5 linked regions of the Mus musculus genome follow. The protein of the gene in region 1 interacts with the protein of each later gene in a pairwise test. Links are inferred from orthologs where the notes say so. Each region holds a gene or a part of one and is shown on either strand. Other genes may lie near its edges. The genes, in order: Ccdc172, Fam13c, Smarce1, Hddc3 and Dctn2.

The links.
Region 2: the proteins of Ccdc172 (region 1) and Fam13c interact in binary tests that used the Homo sapiens proteins (3 or more experiments, as listed by UniProt). The two-hybrid records come from large-scale screens. The link is inferred for Mus musculus from reciprocal best matches to the Homo sapiens genes CCDC172 and FAM13C.
Region 3: the proteins of Ccdc172 (region 1) and Smarce1 interact in binary tests that used the Homo sapiens proteins (3 or more experiments, as listed by UniProt). The two-hybrid records come from large-scale screens. The link is inferred for Mus musculus from reciprocal best matches to the Homo sapiens genes CCDC172 and SMARCE1.
Region 4: the proteins of Ccdc172 (region 1) and Hddc3 interact in binary tests that used the Homo sapiens proteins (3 or more experiments, as listed by UniProt). The two-hybrid records come from large-scale screens. The link is inferred for Mus musculus from reciprocal best matches to the Homo sapiens genes CCDC172 and HDDC3.
Region 5: the proteins of Ccdc172 (region 1) and Dctn2 interact in binary tests that used the Homo sapiens proteins (3 or more experiments, as listed by UniProt). The two-hybrid records come from large-scale screens. The link is inferred for Mus musculus from reciprocal best matches to the Homo sapiens genes CCDC172 and DCTN2.

What each region holds. Positions count from the first base shown.
Region 1 is NC_000085.6:58,510,786-58,514,795, forward strand, and holds the start of Ccdc172 (coiled-coil domain-containing protein 172), read left to right. Parts: upstream 1-1,199; 5' UTR 1,200-1,281; exon of another isoform or gene 1,282-1,323; coding exon of another isoform or gene 1,324-1,572; coding exon 1,573-1,651; intron 1,652-1,831; coding exon 1,832-1,917; intron 1,918-4,010.
Region 2 is NC_000076.6:70,439,578-70,443,716, forward strand, and holds the start of Fam13c (protein FAM13C), read left to right. Parts: upstream 1-1,332; 5' UTR 1,333-1,436; coding exon 1,437-1,498; exon of another isoform or gene 1,499-1,560; intron 1,561-4,139.
Region 3 is NC_000077.6:99,208,534-99,211,284, forward strand, and holds the end of Smarce1 (SWI/SNF-related matrix-associated actin-dependent regulator of chromatin subfamily E member 1), read right to left. Parts: intron 1,745-2,751; coding exon 1,536-1,744; 3' UTR 514-1,535; downstream 1-513. UniProt on the Homo sapiens protein: Involved in transcriptional activation and repression of select genes by chromatin remodeling (alteration of DNA-nucleosome topology).
Region 4 is NC_000073.6:80,341,930-80,345,948, forward strand, and holds the start of Hddc3 (guanosine-3',5'-bis(diphosphate) 3'-pyrophosphohydrolase MESH1), read left to right. Parts: upstream 1-1,207; 5' UTR 1,208-1,208; coding exon 1,209-1,320; intron 1,321-1,609; coding exon 1,610-1,665; intron 1,666-1,786; coding exon 1,787-2,027; intron 2,028-2,172; coding exon of another isoform or gene 2,173-2,298; exon of another isoform or gene 2,299-2,981; coding exon of another isoform or gene 2,982-3,013; exon of another isoform or gene 3,014-3,247; coding exon of another isoform or gene 3,248-3,300; exon of another isoform or gene 3,301-3,718; coding exon 3,719-3,849; 3' UTR 3,850-4,019. UniProt on the Homo sapiens protein: ppGpp hydrolyzing enzyme involved in starvation response.
Region 5 is NC_000076.6:127,272,762-127,276,276, reverse strand, and holds part of Dctn2 (dynactin subunit 2), read right to left. Parts: intron 1,564-3,515; coding exon 1,467-1,563; intron 1,284-1,466; coding exon 1,222-1,283; intron 454-1,221; coding exon 355-453; intron 1-354. UniProt on the Homo sapiens protein: Part of the dynactin complex that activates the molecular motor dynein for ultra-processive transport along microtubules. In the dynactin soulder domain, binds the ACTR1A filament and acts as a molecular ruler to determine the length.

The sequences.
Region 1 (4,010 bases):
GTGATCAAACATGACTGTGGGCAAGTTACTTAGCCTTTCAAGTAACAAAAACATAGTTCTAATGGGATAATTGGCTTGATTAAAAGAATTAGTACACATCAAGGTTTCAGATAGTGACTGAACTGAATAGTCTCATGAATTCATTTTTATTGGAATATTTTGAGTCTGTCTCCTTAACTATATCAGATAAGAAATGACAAAAATCATCTCAAATAGATGTAGAATGCTCAGAAAGAGAGTGCTTAGCAAACAAACAATAAATATTGAATTACATAATAATTATTATATCAAAACACAAGTAACAAAATAATGTTATTATTCCTTATTCATGGGACTTCAAGGTTGTAAATAAGAAGTTCTTGTCAAGAAGGGCTACCCAAAAGACAGAAGATCTACCCAAAAAAACAAAAGGGCTACCCAAAAGATAGTGAGAAAATTTTCATCAATACTTGCTTCTGAATAGCTCCAAGTAATTGTTTTCAACTTCATTTCAAATTTCAGTGTGTATTCTGATAGTTCAAACATTAAACTTTATGCAGACATGACCAGATGAAAATTAAGGTAGAAATTTAGAATAGGTTAGAATTTATAACTGATTATATTGTGGCATTAATGGGCTATTAATTAAGCCTATTCTATGTGACAAAAAATTTCATTTACCTTATTTTACATAATTTAAAACACATTCAAACTAAAAGTTACTTTAAAAAGTCTAGCCAGTGTCAGTTTTACATTTATAATAAAGTCAAATATTTATTACAATGTCAATATTTTGAGCTACCGAAACTGAAAATATTTTTTAATTAAAAAAAGAAGAAAGAAAAACTCATGTAAAAGCCCCAAAGGTGCCTTTCACATTTAAGCCTTAATTAGCAACCACTTTGGTCTCTGACACACATTGTGCAGATATTGAAGTGTTAATATTACCAAGGCTTGATTACAAAAGGCAATGATTAATTTCGGAGCAGACAAAAAAAAAAAATATGCCCTGATTACGAAGGAATGATTACGACGGAATGTCAGATATTGTACGTTTGTCTTTGTGAGCCTCCCAGCATAAGACTTTGCAAAAGTTTATATTTAGAATCACTGGTACTTTGCACTTTGTAATCCTTGAAGACTGGGCGTCCCACCTCTAGAAAGACCCCAGACCCGTGAGCGCAGACCCTGCAGACTGGCCCCACCAGGCTCCCGTAGCTGACTTCTCGCGAGATCAGTGGAGGCCGCCTGCGCTGGACACACGTGAGGGGACGAGGGGACGTCGCCAGCCCCTGACCACAGGCATCTTCCCCTGGGGGAGCGAGGGAGCTGGGGAAGGGAAGCATGGCCCCAGCCAAGGCTGCCATGTCTGTTCTCCAAGACTTTCCTGTGGGAGCTGCACCCAGCACAGAAGCAGGCCGCGCTGTGGGCGAGCATGGAGGAACAGGCCGAGCTCCCCCATGGGGCTCCACTGGGCAGGGGTGGGTGGTGCGGGCAGCCCAGCAGGGAGCAGCCGGACAGCCCTCTCTCTTCGCTGTGCTTTCCAGGATCCTCAGACTCCCTTATCAAATATTAAGGGCGAGCCGGCCGGAGATGAGTCTGGAGTCCTTGTTTCAGCACATCATCTTCAGTGAGCATCAGGCGGAGGAGAGCCGCAGAGTGATGCGGGAAGGTGGGGCCTGCCCCCGGGGGGCCTTCGGCGTTTGGAGCTGGGTGTTTGCACCTCAGACTGGAGGGGAAGGGAAGGCTTGAGTGGAGTTTGCAACCTGGAGGGAAACCTCACATGCCAACAGCTCCTAAGATGGAGGCTTCAGAAAGGTGAATGCAAGTAAAGATTTTGTTTGTATTACAGTAAGGTCGGAGATTACCAGATGTCGTGGGAAAATTAAGAAAGCAACAGAGGACCTGAGTGAAGAGAAAATCAAGTTGGAATCCAAGGTATTGATGCATAGAACATGCTAAGGGTTACTTGAAGAAGTGTCTTGAGCTTGGCTTTGGGGAGCTATTTACTGTCTACGTATCCTTCAGCTAGGAGCCGCAACAGCTATATACTGTGGTTCAATGTTGTCTAGAACCTAAGATTCTGAATCCGCTATCTTTAGTTCTTAACAGGAAGTGGCTCCAAGGAATCCAGACTTACCGAATTCCTTGTCCATTTTGTGGAATGGTTAATGTTTATAAGAGAAGTGTCATTTGGAAGAATAATTGTTCCTTAGTGCAGCATATGAATTTTAAATACTAAGTAATTTAAGCGTGCAATGTGGATGTAACAGACTGTATATATCTTTCAAACGATGGCTTTCTGCTTTTCAGTTCACGACCACGTTTTTGAGTATGTCTCAGCCAAAAGAATCTCTTCCCTGCTCTCATTTCTCTCTTTGGCTGCATTTGTAAAGTTCTGCCTTTTGAAAAATAGGACCAAGGGAACCTCACAGCTTCAAGGAAGAGGTTGAACCAAGGATAGACTTTTGAGAAAGAAAAGAGATTTAGTAGGAGAGACCTTTGGTAGCAGTAGGGGGCAGATCTTCCCCAGGCACATTGAGAGAGGACTCTGGGCGCCAGCAGAGGGCTGCTGAGAGAGCTGGAAGGGAATTGTCCAGAGGGGGGGCAGTGAACGTGCTGTCAGGGGTCTCCTTGTGCTCTGATCACAAAGATGGGGGTGGACAGTGAAGATGGTGAGGGTGTGCTGAAGGCCTCAGTCCAACAGGAGGGATTCCGTGTCCAGTGAGTCCACAGTGATAATGTTCCAACACCTAAAGATGAGCTAGGGGAGCAGTGCATAGGGGCAGACTATTTTACTTAATCACTCAAAGGATTTTGTTAATAAAATCTTCATTTTATTACATATTAAATATAAATTTATATTTAACAGAAATATAAGCTATACATTTATGTATATAAAGTATTACTCTATTAACTTAGCATGTATCTGTGAGGAGTTTTCAGTTTTCTGTGGATAAAATAATTCTTGCACTTTTACCACGTGGTGAATGCTCTCTCTTCTTTCCATATCCTGCTCATATATCTTAAAGCCTTCCTAGACAGCTCTGTAAAATCTCTTAGCTAACTGTCAACATGCAGTTGTGTTTGTAGCCCCGGTTTCTTTAAGAGGAACGTACTTAGTTCTTTTAATTCACCTTTATTCTCTTTGTGTTTGTTGCATAGCAAACATTGTGCACGAGTGTATTCACTACTGAGAGAGGGTAACAAGGAAAGAATGGTCTAGATGATTTGACAAATAAAAGTTGTGCATGTTTATAGGTTCCATGTTATTTGTTACATATTTTGTAATGCTCAACTCCAGGTTAATATATCTGTGCCAACATTTATCCTGTGTTTGTGGTGAAAATACTACAAATCTTTGAATTTTTAGTATATGTCATTAACTATAGTCACCTTGCTATGTATTCTAATACCAGTATTTATCCCTCCTAACTGTGAGCACTTACTAACCAAGCAACCTTTCCTATCTGCCCCCTTCACCTAAAAGAAACTGGCTATCTTTTAAAACAGAATTTGGGACGAGTATTCATTGAGCCCTAGGTCTGATTTTTCCCAGGGTAAAAGAGAAAGTAGGCTAGTGACAGTGGGGAACCCTGGTGGGGTGGGCAGAGGTGGAGAGTATCCTCATGGAGCAGTCTTTTCCTTGAAGAAGAATTAAGATGCTTTGAAAGTTGGGTTGGCAAGTAGAAGTCAACAGAAGAAAAGGGACATACACACAGGCATACGCTCACATGCCACACACCACACACACACCCCCCAAATACTCATACCACACATACCACACATGCACACTTACCACACGCACACTACAAACACACTACATACATATACCACACATATACCACACCCACACACACATACCACACATGCACACACAGCACACACACATACCACTCACACACCACACACACACACACACACACACACACACACACACACCACATAACCCACACACATACACATACATACCACACACAGAGACTACATATACACTCCACACATGGCAAGGGGCCGAGGTGAGTTCAGCC
Region 2 (4,139 bases), on another chromosome or scaffold:
CTGCCCTCCTCCTCAGCTTCTTCCAGCTTTTCCCCAATTCATCCACAGGGGTCCCCCGCTTCTGTCCATTGGTTGGGTGCTAGTATCTGCATCTGACTCTTTCAGCTGCTTGTTGGGCCTCTCAGAGGGTTCATTATATTTTCAACTGGTCCACAGCATATTCATATCAACTGCTGTTTTTCAGGTGAAAGCATTGTTCCTTCTGTTCTAGATGAATCACTGGAGATGTTTACGCAATCAAAAGGCTGGTCTTTCTTCACACTGAACTACCCAGAATGGGCACCACAGCCCTCGAGCGCAGGGGCGTTTGGGAAAGTGACAGTCTTTGGATCTGAGGACAGGAAGATATCCTGTGATTAGACTTCACGTTGCCATCTAGAACCTAGTTCCATGGGACAGTAGGATTAAGAACACATGCATAGTATAGTTCAACACGTAAGTCTGTGATCGTATTTCAAAATTCAGAGGCAGGTCTTTCCAAGTCAAGGTCAACATGTCAGGAAACATGGACAATGGGAACGGGGCAGGGTAAACATCTCCAAGCAAGAATAAAGCGGGGTGGGGGTGGGGCTGACCGGCCCTCCCTTCCCCCAACAAAGTAGACTCCATCAAAGGGAACAACGTTTGTGAGTTGTCATTCCATCCTTTGTGAAGGTGCGGGGCTGCTGTGGGGGTAGGAGTCCATCTCCCCGCCTGGCACGGTGTCCTAGGCATCAGCGAAGGCCTGGAAAGCATTCTACATTCGCCTGCATAGGTTCATTCACATCTCTGTGGTCCTGCGCTGGGCGCTTCCTCTAGCGGAGTAAAATAACAAGAGCGCAGACGGACCTGTCGGGATGCAGCCCGCCCTTGGGAGCCCTTTTGTTCTAGGCAATAAAAACCAACACACAGTGAAAATAAATCAAAACTCAGCATCCATATCCCTCTCCTCCTTCTCGATCTCTCCATGCTTTCAGGAAAAGCGACAGAAGCATCTTTGCTCGTTTGCATCCCTAGGGTGGGGTGGGGGCTGGGGAGGTAACAAGCCATGGGAGGCGGGCATTGTATCCACTGGGGGGTGGGGGGGACGACGCAATCTGTATTGCCAGCTGAGGCTGAGGTGGCAGGCTCAAGCAGCTTGGACTCTCTGTAGCTCCTAGCTGCCTACCAGGGTTGCGCGGAGCAGCTCCAGGTTCCTGAGGCTGAAGCCCCCGGTCGCGCGCCGCCGCGCCCCGCCCCATCGTCCCCGCAGCCTCGCGGGCTGCTGGGCTTTGTGGTTCGCCGGTGCCGCTGGGCCCCTGCTGGGGGTGTCGTCAGGAGCATGTGCAGACAGCAGCCCAAGGTAGAGCGAGCGTGCCGGGCGAGCCCTAAGACTTGCCTGGCAATGCCATGTTTGTGTGGGTGCTCTAACTCCGGGAGAGCAATTAGGGAGACGGCTCCCCGGCCGCACTTGGCTCATGTTTTCTTGTTTCTGTTTCAGCCTTCAGGATAATTCCTTCGGCAGCGCCGCTGTAACTGAGTAAGTGCTTCTTGCCCTTACAATCGACTTGCATTCCTGTCTCCGAAGCAACTATGGTGAAGGTATCCCCTCCCGCTGCCACCCCACTCCACCCCACCCCACCCCTGTCCCCAAGCCCTCTTTCCAGGCGATGCATTGTCTCCTGGATCCTGAGGCTGCGAGGCTGGCGGGGCCCACAAACCTCACACAGGTTGCAGCCAGTATTTTGGCAGCTCGGGGTGGAGGGTGCGCGGGGGTAGGGAGTGAGGAGCGGAAGCGGGGGGTGGGGGGAGTAATAAACCTAGCTTGATTGCTGCGGGAGGCTCCGTGGCCCAAAATATGCAATCTTGGAGCTTAGCTTAAAAAAAAATCTATGTGACATGTCAGAAAGGAAGCTGGGTTGTATTTTGCCAACATGAGTGTCAGTTTTCATGGAGTGCACGCAGTGTACATTTGCCCCAAATAGACGGATGTGAGCTAGCAGGAGTTTAATTCCAGCATATTTAAACAGGGTAAACTCACCTTCCCTCTCCGTGTGTACAGATTTTTAAGACACAGTGCGGTAAACTTTTCTAGATGCCTTTTTGTGATTTTTCTCGTCTGGCCACAATAATGTGACTATAGAGAAACGCCTTGCCTGACTAACAACCTAATAACAGTTCATAGTGGAGGGAAGGGAAATAATGTTTTACTCTAGGCCAGCCCGTGTGTGTGCGTGTGTGTGTGTGTGTGTGTGTGTGTGTGTTGATATTGATAGTGCTTTGTTTTTATTTTGGTCATCTCTTCCTTAGTATTTTCTTAATAGAATCTATATATCAGAGGTGAACGTGGAGTAGATTTTGCTGGCACTGTATGCAATTCACATATAGCTGGGAGTATAAACTATATGTATTCCATTTTATCGTAGGGAAATTAGTGTTTACTTCTGGGACCTTTTGGTAAAAGCTACTCGGTAAAAGCTTTTTGCAGCAGGCTGTGTGTGTGTGTGCATGCGCAAAGTTGTGTATCCCACTACTTAAGAGAATTGTGAGTTTCATACAGAGGCTACAAGTGGCTTAGAAGCTGTTTGCTAAAGAAACCTGAACAGTGACGAGAGCATCTTTTGGCTTTCAGATCCTGCCACTGTTGCAGAGACTTGGAGAGGGAGGGCTGAGGTTCCACTGTGCTTTCTGGGCCTCTTCCCCATGCACTTTTGCTTGTCTGGTTTGCTACTGACTTAGTACCCCGCTTTGAGCTCATCTAAGTGGGGTCTCTTTAAAATAAGGACCAGGTTGACTTTCAATGATTCACTATGGCCTGTCCACTGGAACCCTGGACACGATAGTGACATTGCCTTGCAATAGAAAGATAGAGAAAGAGAGAGGTGGGGAGAGATACCTGTGGGCCAAGGATGAGGCCTGAATTTCCTGGATAAGTGGTCAGGTAACATCTCTCTTTTCCTCTGGGTTCCTTGGCACCACATGTTTTTCTGGGCCTGATTCTTGGGAGTGTTGTGTGGCTGTATTCCTAGAGTCAGCCATAGTCACAGGCCCAGGAGTTTCAAGATGGAGACTTTTAGTTCCAGCTTTCATATGGTGTGTGTGTGTGTGTGTGTGTGTGTGTGTGTGTGTGTGTTTGTTATGGTTAAATGCTGGGGAGACTCTTGGTGTCTTGTCCTTGGATACTCCCCAAGGAGTTCTGATTGCATAAGATCACGTTACCCTCAGAGAAGTGACAGAGGTTCCTTTTAAAAGGCTGTGAGTAGTGTCTGGGAAGCCATCTGGCTAATGCAAGAATCTAAGGAACTTGCAACACACCCAAAGCCCCACAGGTGTGACCCGGCTCAGCTGAGGGGCGTCCTAAACCAGTGGTTGTCAAAACGGAACATTGTTCATCTTCTCCTCTCAATAATATGAAACTGTTCCTGGGTCTGTGGACTCCCGGCAGGACCAGAGGGTGCTATCCTGAGACACAGACATAGCAGCTTGTCCTGGAAGTGTTTGGGTGCCATGTTAGTCTGTCCCGAGGAGGTTCTTTCCTCTTCAATGTTTCTGAGAGGCAAAGATCCTCTGGCTCCTGTCTTCACCCATGTCCAGTGCCTCCTCTCCAGACCACTGAAAGTTCAGGCCTCTGGTGTTGATCCTTATTAAAATGGAAATTAAAAACTCTGTGCCTTGGAAGGCGCATCCAAGCAGTCATTAGAGTTCCCTATGAATTATTTTATCAGATAGACTTATGTGAGAGGATGCTGCTTGACCAGTCGTGATTATTTGTATGTGCGCGCGCGCCTGTGTGTGTATGCATATGTGTGCCGTGTGCGCTCATACAGTGTGTGCATGAGGGAGCCTTTGGAGGTCAGAGGTTAACATCCTATGTCTCCTTTGATTTCATTCAACCTCATTTCTCACTGAACTTGGAGTTTATGATGGGTTAAGACTGGCCAATGAGCTCTGGGGAATCCTCCGGTCTCCATCCATCCCCAGACCCAAGGCTTTATAGGTACCACCACTAGGATGGACTGACTTTAAAGTGGTTGCTGGGGACTCACATTCAGGTCTTCATACCTGAGCCTAAGACAGTGTCCCACTGAGCCAGGGCTCTGTCTCCCCAGCTGGAGGTCCTGGGAAGAGTCACAGGAAGAGTGGAATTAGGAATCAAGGGGCAGAATCCTTTTCGTTTTGTT
Region 3 (2,751 bases), on another chromosome or scaffold:
AGGATTCTATTTGTGGCTATCCAATTTGTCTGAGATAAGATGGTTTGAATTCTTAGCCCTACATGCTCAAAACCCCAAACAGACCCGTTGATAGGAAAGTTCTTTGCCAGGGTAGACAAGGCTACACAGAGAAATCCTGTTTTGAAAAAAAAAACAACAAAAAATTGTTTGACTCTCAAGCAACTGTAGAATCACAGAAAAACTGGCCCAAGGATGACCCCACACATCAGGCTTCCTCTCAGGGAACTGCTCAATGCTGTGTCTATACCGGCAGTTACTCAAGTGTGGGTGCAGGTGCCGTCTCTCCATGAGCACAGGCTCTATTCACTTACTGGCCACACTTCTTGCACACTACTGAGATTTCTTCAGTCCTATTGATACTGACAGTTCATGAGGCAAGGTTCCTAAAAGTGACATCTTATGACCATGGATCATTCCATGATGTCCCTGTATCATAGTGACCAAATTATGTCTACATATTATCTTCCACAGTGCAATAAAAACACTGAGACCTTTGTCTTAATTTCTTTATTATGTTTGGACCTTTAAGAAACATATACCATCATATATACCACTATTCAGTAAAAATCTATTCTAGATTTTAGGGAGCACACACTACAAACTATCTTGTTTCTAGTCTCTAAGACCACTACAGGGGTTATCAAAAAAGTAGGTTCGGCTCTGATCTATGGGATCTCGAGTCTTGAGGTTTTCATCACTGTGAAGTATGCTCACATGGATGAACAGCATTCCCATTTTCCTTTTGGAATGGGCCAATCACTTTGAAGTCTGTAGTCCATTATAAGAACATTCCATTCCTTAAGCTCTGCCATCTATCGTGTCTTTGGAAAGCCAATCTGGTAAAAAAAAGTGTTTCTTTCCCCTGTACAAAAAGGATGAATTTCCCAGAACACATCCCAGATCGACTACACTGAACAGCACTCTAGATAAGCAGGCGCAGCTCTCACCAACAAGGAATCCACAGAAAGAACAACTGTACTCCCCCTGCTCCCCCACCCCCAGTGCCCCCAGAGGCATCTCTGTGATCTGTGTCTCACCAGTTTCTGGCTACACCCTACCCTGTAAGAGAACTCCTGGTGTCTGACATGGGACATAGAAAGGGTGAGTGAAGAGACCCCCTCATGATTTCAAGAGGGCACTCTGTGTAAGTACACAAGACAGGGACTGGGAAAGCTGTGGATGGGCTGGAAGGGTTTAAAGCTATGGCTTTGGTGAGCACCACGTGAGCTGAAGGCAGGTATTTGGAAGAGTCGATTCTGCAGCAGCCAAGGTAGTTCTCAGAGAATGATGGGTGTCTTGATTAATCTCAGCTCTGAGGTTTCAGACGTTGAGAGCTAAGAAAGGTGAGCGGCTGGCATTAGGCTATGATGCTGAGGGTTCAAAGACCTTCATGTTGTATCAACGGAAAAGTAAATAATTAATACACAGACCACATAACACCATTAAAACCAAAAAAAAAACCACATTTTTTTTTCATTTAAAAAAGTTTTAGGTCACATAAAACAAGGCAACATTTACTCCTTCTTCTCGTCTTCTGGCACTGGGTCTGTGGGCGGCTCCTCCACTGTGGCGCTGTTGCTCTCTGAGCCCGTGTTACTGTCACTGGTCCCTTCCACCTCCATGCTGTCAACCCCCTCCTGCCCACTCTCCTTGTCCTCAGGAGTAGACGTGCCTTCTTCACCATTCTGCTGGCTCTCTGCTGTGTCTTCAAGGTGTGTCTCCTCTGAAACCATACATTTACCACCATCAGTTCCAAGAAAAACATTCACTCTTAACTATTCTGATGGCATTGGACAGCCACACGTGGAGAAGCCCTGAGATGACCTAATATGATTCAGGAGTATTTACCAATATTTGAGACAGCTCAGGGTACAAAAATCTACATTTTTACCTACAGTATTACAAAATTTAAATACATACCAAACACATTCGTGGTGAGAATTGAGATTTTGAAATTAGGAAGTATATGAAAGGGGCTGGAGAGGTGGATCAGTGGTTAAGAGCACTGGCTACTCTTCAATTGGATCCAGGTTCAGTTTCCAGCACCCACAAGATCTAAATAACTTTAAAAGTCCCACAGTCTTTACATATTCTTAAAATTTCAATCTCTTTAAAATACCCATCTCTTTTAAAATCCAAAGTCTTTTTACAATTAAAACTCTCTTAACTATGGGCTCCACTAAAACAGTTTCTTCCTTCAAGAGGGAAAATATCAGGGCACAGTCAATCAGCAGCTCACAACTGTCTGTAACTCCTGTTCCAGGAGATCCAGACCAACACTTACACAGAGATACATGCAGTCAAATCACCAATGTACATCAAATAAAAATAAATTATTTTTAAAAAGTATATAAAATACACACTGGATTTCAAAGCTTTGCTACGACAACAGAATGTAAGACAGTCACAGCCTTGCGTGTGTCCGTGAGTCAGAGGAGACAAGTTCTGCTCCTCAGTCACTGTGCACGTTTTTGAGACAGGCTCTCCCACTGACCTGGAAGTGACCAGGCAGGCTAGGCTGGCAGGCCAACGAGCCTTGGGAGCTGCCCATCTCTATCTCCCCAGTCCTGGATCATGAGCATGCGCTACCATGCTTTTTACATAGGAGCTCAGGTCCAATCTACTCAGCTTTCTCTCTAGCCTAGAATGTTAATAAGTTTAAAAATATTGATAGATAACACTGAAATATTTTCTGGAGACTTGGTTTAAACGTCACATTAAAAGGAAGCC
Region 4 (4,019 bases), on another chromosome or scaffold:
AGCCTTATCTCCCCAGCTGCCAGCCCAGACACAAAAGCTACCTGCCTGGTGGAATACACTTAGCAGCTGGCTGTCTCCACTTCTCAGAACCCTTTGGGGAGATGCCAAGGTCTTGCTTATCCCTCATACTTCAGAGCTGCCAACGCCAAGACGGGATTTCTCCAGAAGATCCAAAGCTCGATGGCCGGTAAAGAGAGAAGGATTGTTCCAGTGCCTACCCAAGCTAGGCAACACTATGCTCCTGAAACCGCGGGGACAAGACTCACTACCTCAAGGGCCCAGAGCAGAGGTCTGGGGACTGAAGCAGGCTCCCTCATGATTCAAGAGATGAATGCAAACGGTTTCTGTAGAAACAGTGTTGTGTCCCAGGAGCCCACATCTGAAGCAATTAAGCAAGATCCAACTCTCCAGGTCAAATCCTAGCATCTCTAGGGCCAAGATGTTAGGTTCAGATGCCCAAGATAACAGAGACTGACCCTGTGAGGAGAGCGATGTTTGGAGCACGTTGAAAACGGTCTGGGTGTTGTGCCAGGCTGTAGATGGCCTTTTTCTCGTGGAAGACGCTGTCTCTGCCTCCCAGGCTAGATAAAATGGGCTTTCCCCCCACGATCCCACGGCCACCCGTGCCTTCCAGCTCTGTACCCAGCACTCTGTGAAACTATCACTTTTGGTTTTGTCTCCCTTTTCTGCAAAGACTGTTAGTTCTACTACGTCCTGGGGCATGGTGGGGAGAACGCTGCACCAGCCGCTGTGATTGTTGAAAACTTCTATATCCAGGATCTCGGTCTTTAAAGAACCTCCGTTGAGAATGGGATGATGGTTCAGTGGGTAAAGTGCTTGCTGCACAAGAATAAGGACTTGCATTCTTTCAGATTATTGCAATAGCCAGGTAAAAAAGCTGGGGATGGCAACCTACGCCTGTTGTACTGTGGAGGCAGAGACAGGAGACTCCTTGAAACTCGTTCGGTAGCTAGTCTTGCTAAATACCTGGGCTACAGGTTCAAGGAGAGTCTTTGTCTCCAAAAACTAAGGTGGAGACTTATAGCCTCTATAATCCACACGCACGCGCACACACGTTGGGGGAGGGGGGATGAATGAATTACAGCTTGTTAGAAATAGTTCCGTTCTCCGAGCCTCCGAAGCGCCAGGCGGCGCTATAGGTGATTTGTTCGGACTCCGAAGCTTCAGTCCCTCGCGCCACCAGCGCAATGGGCTCGGAGGCAGCTCAGCTGCTGGAGGCTGCTGACTTCGCCGCTCACAAACACCGACAGCAGCGACGAAAAGATCCTGAAGGGACTCCCTACATTAATCACCCCATCGGTGGGCGCGCCAGTTGGGAAGCAGCCCTCGCGGCCCGTGGCGGGTGGGGACTAACTGGGACGGGAACACAAAGCGCATATAAATTACTGAGCGCCTTCTTCGAGTCCCAAGCGTTGTATCAACCACTTTTCATGCGTTATGCGTGTAAGCCTCACCTGGGGTAGAAGGCAGGAGTGCTCCCTTGGTACAGTCGATATCCCAAGAGGGTAAGGGACTTTCCAAGGTCATCCAGCTGGTGAGGTGCTACATCTGGCTCCTTCTAGACTGACTTCTGCTTTGCCCCTGCCAGGTGTAGCCCGGATCCTAACCCATGAGGCTGGAATCACTGATATTGTGGTGTTACAGGTAAGGCTACCCTTCTCTGCCAGGAGGCTGGTGCGGGAAACCAGAGTACTGTTGAACAATGGGTGCTATTTATTTGGCTAGTAGGTTAGTGTCACTGGGCTGAATGGTAACCTATCCCCAGGCCGCCCTGCTCCATGACACAGTAGAAGACACAGATACTACCCTGGATGAGGTAGAGCTGCACTTTGGAGCACAGGTTCGACGCTTGGTGGAGGAGGTAACAGATGACAAGACTCTGCCCAAACTGGAAAGAAAGCGGCAACAGGTGGAGCAGGCACCACACAGCAGCCCAGGGGCCAAACTGGTGAAGCTGGCAGACAAGCTATACAATCTGAGGGACCTGAATCGCTGCACCCCTACAGGTATGCTCTCCTACTGGCTCTGAGGAGAGAGGGGGAGGGGATGGCCAGCTTCTGAAAATACAGGTTGGTTAGATTCCCAGAAATAAGTCGGGGGGTAGAGTGGGGAGGGGTGGTCGTAACACCTCCGACTAAACCTCTGTCTTAGTCAGGGTTTCTATTCCTGCACAAACATCATGACCAAGAAGCAAGTTGGATCTCATGGAGGCATTTCCTCAACAGAAGCTCCTTTCTCCGTGATAACTCCAGCTGTGTCAAGTTGACACAAAATTAGCCAGTACAATTGACCCCTTGTCAACTTGACACACAAAAACATCACTAGTAAGCCTCAACCCTTACAATCTTATTCATCCCCAAGATCTAAATAACTTTAAAAGTCCCACAGCCTTTACATATTCTTAAAATTTCAATCTCTTTAAAATATCCATCTCTTTTAAAATCCAAAGTCTTTTTACAATTAAAAGTCTCTTAACTGTGGGCTCCACTAAAACAGTTTCTTCCTTCAAGAGGGAAAATATCAGGGCACAGTCACAATCAAAAGCAAAAGTCAATCTCCAACCGTCCAATGTCTGGGATCCAACTCACGATCTTCTGGGCTCCTCCAAGGGCTTGGGTAACTTCTCCAGCCAGGCCCTTTGTAGCACACGCATCGTCCTCTAGGCTCCAGATGCCTGTACCCCACTGCTGCTGCTGCTCTTGGTGGTCATCTCATGGTACTGGCATCTCCAAAACACTGCATGACCCCTTCAGTCCTGGGCCTTCAATTGCAACTGAGGCTGCACCTTCACCAATGGCCTTCCATGGCCTCTCACAGTACCGAACCTCAGCTGCTTTGCGTGACCCCTTCATGCCTTCAAAACCAGTACCACCTGGGTGACCCTTACATATTACCAAGTCCCACTGCAGCAGGAGTACATCCTTGGCCATCTCTGGAACACTGCCTCTTTGTGCTTTCAGAAAACACTTCCCAGAAGATGTCACCTCAATGATGCTGGTCTCTTCTTAATCACCGCTAATTTCTTAGCTCCAGCTAACCAGCATCAATAGTCCCAGTAATGCAAAGTTTTTGCTTGGTAGTTCTGGTATCTTGTTAATCACAGCTGATTCTTCAGCCCCAGCTAACCAGAACTACAGAATCTTCACAAACAAAACAGCAATGGCCCTGAAAAGAGTCTTTAATTTTCCCTCTGAAATTTCACAAACCAGAGCTCCATCTTCTGCAGTGTTCTCAACATTATCTTCCAAGCTCCTACATGACATCCGACAGAGCTCTTAACAACGGATGGATCTTCAAGCCCAAAGTTCCAAAGTCCTTCCACAGTCCTCCCCAAAACATGGTCAGATTGTCACAGGAATACCCCACTCCTGGTACCAATTTGTCTTAGTCAGGGTTTCTATTCCTGCACAAACATCATGACCAAGAAGCAAGTTGGATCTCATGGAGGCATTTCCTCAACAGAAGCTCCTTTCTCCGTGATAACTCCAGCTGTGTCAAGTTGACACAAAATTAGCCAGTACAACCTCCTAGAATAGTCTTCTTCCCTAAGGTGGGAACAGAGTTGCTGGGTCATGGAGAAGTTGTCAGATCATGCCATCGCAACTCACGGCCTTGTACCAAAGCCTGCCAGGAAACAGGCAAAAGCCGATGCTGCCCTTGACACCACACAAGCAGGTTTCTGTCCACTCTGGTGCAGGATGGTCAGAACACCGAGTCCAGGAGTACTTCGAGTGGGCAGCCCAGGTGGTAAAAGGGCTTCAAGGGACAAACCAGCAACTGGAAGAGGCACTAAAGCAGCTGTTCGAGGAGCGAGGGCTGACGCTCTGAGCCGTTCTCTGTGCCATCCTGCAGCATGGCTCCAGCAAGGTCCAGGAAAGATGGGATTCTTACTGCAGCGTTCCAGAGCCTCCTCATTTCCCACATTCCATCACTCAACCCTGACATCACAGGCTAAAAACGTCTGTGTTTTTTCACTAAGGTGGGCCCGGAATATGGAA
Region 5 (3,515 bases), on another chromosome or scaffold:
AGTGTGTATACCACATGCATGAAGTGTGTGTACCACATGCATGCAATGTGTGTGCCACATGCATGCAGTGTGTATATCACATGCATGCAGTGGCCATAGGGGCCTGAAGGGGGTATCAGATCCCATGGGACTAGAGTTACAGATGGTTGGGAGGCCCTAAATGGGTGATGATAATAGAACCTGGATCCTCCAAAGGGGCAGCCAGTGCTCTTAATCTTTCCAGTCACCACTGCCACGTGCCCAGGATAGATTTTAGAACAGCACTGAATTTAACAGTGTTAAATATAGATTTGTATTCCCCAGCTCTGGAAACCTCACAGCCCAGGCACTCAGAAGCCAGGGTATGGACGTTACCTTGATCTTCTCCACCTCAGTTGTCAGCTCTTGGACTTCATGCAGTAGTCGTTGGTACTTCTGCTGCGGTGTCTCCTTCACTCCCAGACCCTCTCCAAGCTAGAGACAAGGAGGAAGTTGATGTTACCTGTCCCATTAGAGGGAGCCCTCGGAGTTAATCCAAACCTTGGACCTAAGTCATAAGGTATCCCTCTACCACCTGGATCCTCACTACCCTCTTACAGAAGAGAGGGAGACAACAGAGATCTGGAGACTCCAGAACTGTAGCAGGGAGCACAACACTCTCAAATGTATTTTGCGTGGATGACACTCAGACAAACTCAGACTAAGACTACATCCCTCAGGCTCAGCAGCTAAGGGCACTGGCTGCCCTCAGAGACCTTCAGTCCCAGCAGCCATAAGGTGAATTACAACCATCTGTAACCTTATTTCTACAGAATCCAATGCTCTCTTCTGGTCTCTCCAAACATCAGGCACACACATGGTACATTCATGCAGGTAAATACTCATTTGCACAATATAAAAATAAATAAATCTTAAAGAAACAAAACAAAAACCAAAGCCAGGTATGGTGGTACAAGACTTTAATCCCAGCACTTGGAAGGCAGAGGCAGATGATTCTCTGAGTTTAAGGCCAGCTTGGTCTACAGAGCAAGTTCCAGGACAGCCAGGGCTACACAGAGAAACCCTGTCTTGAAACAACAACAAAAACACAACAAAATAATAATAATCCCCAAGGCAAAAAACAAAGACAAAAAAATAAGAGAGAGAGAAATTTAAAATAAAGAAACAAAGCCCCAAACTTAACACTGCTCACTCCCCTGCAGGCCTGCTCTAGGCTCACCCCACGGTCATCACACAACAAACCATTTCATAGTCTCCAGACTCATATCCTGTCCTCTTGGTCTTTCCAATGCGATCTGAGAAATCTGTCAAGAGAAGAAGACTACTGAATGAGCTGGTCTAGGCCCAGTTCAGCCCCAGACCAAGGTGACTGTGAGGGCTGGTCCCAGAAGGCTCCACAAGGGATCGGATCCGCAGGGCTCAGGCAGCTTGTTCGCTCTCTAGGACCACGCCCGCATCCCCTCCCCAAGCCTCCAGCCCAGGCTCACCAAGCCCCTTTGTTCCCACTCTCTTGTCCTTGAACTTGTCGTAGGCAGCGTTGGGGTTGACAATGATGTGTTCCACGCTTGTGCTGCTCAGTTCCTCCTGAGGGGACAGGGACCTTAGCATTTCTTCTATCCCACAAAGCCCCCAAACTACTAAGCCACTGCACTCTATTTTTCCAAGGAGAAAGAAGGGGGGCTCCATTCCAAGCCTCCCACCCAGGCTCAGCCTGGGAAAGAGAAGCCTCCTGGTAAAGCTGGAGCCTTGGTAGTATAAGTATTAACACCCTGATTTAGCTAGGGACAGAGGCAGTGTAGCCTCCCCCACCCACTCTGTACATAAGCCTCCCTCCCTCAGCCTCTCCCAGTTATCTGGCATACACCATGCACTCAGGGCAAGAAACAAACTTGACCTCTCCTAACCTCCCCCTCCCAAAAGTAAATCTTCTTCCCTGGCTAAACAAGTCCATAGAGCTGACTCTTCGCCCATGCTGGACGGGGAGGAGGAGGCAAGGGCAATATTCTCAATGTAAAATGGCAGGTTTAATCTGTACAAGGTAAGATACCAACTCATAGATAGAAGAGGACTATTGGCAGAGTGTGTGCTTAGAAGCCTGGTTTCTGGGCTACTGTGGGGCCAGACAGCTCGGGATATGGAGGAGCAGCGACAGCTCAGCGGGTTACTATTAAAGGGACACCTTACAAGTATCCCAGGAGCACCTTAGGCAAGGGCTGGACATAGCCCCCAGCACTGAGAAGCGTGGCATGTGCCCCTGCTACTAGACCACTCTGTTGCACCCAAACAATCAAGTCAGGCACATGCAGAGAGGGAACACTGTACCCTAGACCTGAGGGTGACACTCCTTACACATCAACAACTACATCTTCCAACCAGGGAAGGTCACTACAGTGCTGAAGGAAGGGAGGTGCCTAGGAGTGCTGTTTTGTTAGGGGTTGACATCTCCCTGAATCTAGGAAATGAAGCTCAATCGGGTTGTTGCACATTAGAGTCTCTTAGAAAAGCCTGCCTGCCTGCCTTCCTTCCTCCCTCCCTCCCTGCCTTCCTTCCTCCCTCCCTCCCTGCCTTCCGTCCTCCCTCCATCCCTTCCTTCCTGGAGAAGAAAAAGAACAGGCCTGGGCCCATCTCTTAGGTGTGAGCTTAGGTGCTCTCTCTGCCTGTGTGTGGGTGTGTGGGGAGCAGGGAGGAGAACCAGGACAGGAGAGAGAGCACTGGCTGCAAGGAGGGTCCATCCTCCCCTCTCCAGAGTCACAGGGGGAACGTGGCGGGCATGGGCGGCAGCCTCGGGCTGAGGACAAGAGAGAAGGCGAGGACAAAGCAGCAGCTTCCCTCCCTTCAGGCAGCTGTTAGGCAGAGGGACAAGACAAGGGCCCAGTGGAGAGAAGAGACATCGGAGTCCCCCTCACCCCTTCCCCTCAGAAGTCCCCACTTGCCAAGTAGCCCTGTGGTTTCTGGTCTCTAAACTGCCTAAGGATAGCAGCTCAAGACAGGCAAGCATAGCTGTGCTGCTGGCTCCCGGAAACATGGTTTCTCTCCATAAAAGCCAACAAGGCAGAGGCCCCTTTTCAGACAAGCATGGTGGCACAGGTGTGTAATCCCAGCACCCAGGAAGACGCTCACACTGTAATCCCAGCGTTTGGGAGGCTGAAGCAGAAGGATAGCTGCAAGTCTGCAGCCAGCCTGGTCTTCACTCTGAGTTCCAGGTCAGCTAGGATCCCAAGACTCTACTCAAAAACAAAACCAAAAAAACTAACTTCTTAAAAAGATGGCCAGACAGCAGCAGAAGACACTTTTAATCCCAGCACCAAGCAGGCTGGGTCACTTTGAGTTCCAGGTCGAGCTAGTCTATAGAGTGAGATCCCATCTTAAAAGAAGAAAAGAAGCGGATGAGAGGCTGGTGCTGTCACTTGGTGCTGGAGGACTGACCTTGCAGGCTTCAGCCCCTGCGCTAGACCTCTGCTACCACCAACACACAAATGAAAAAAGAAAAGGAAAGGAAAAGGCACGGGGCACAACCTGAAGAGAAAGTGCTCTGT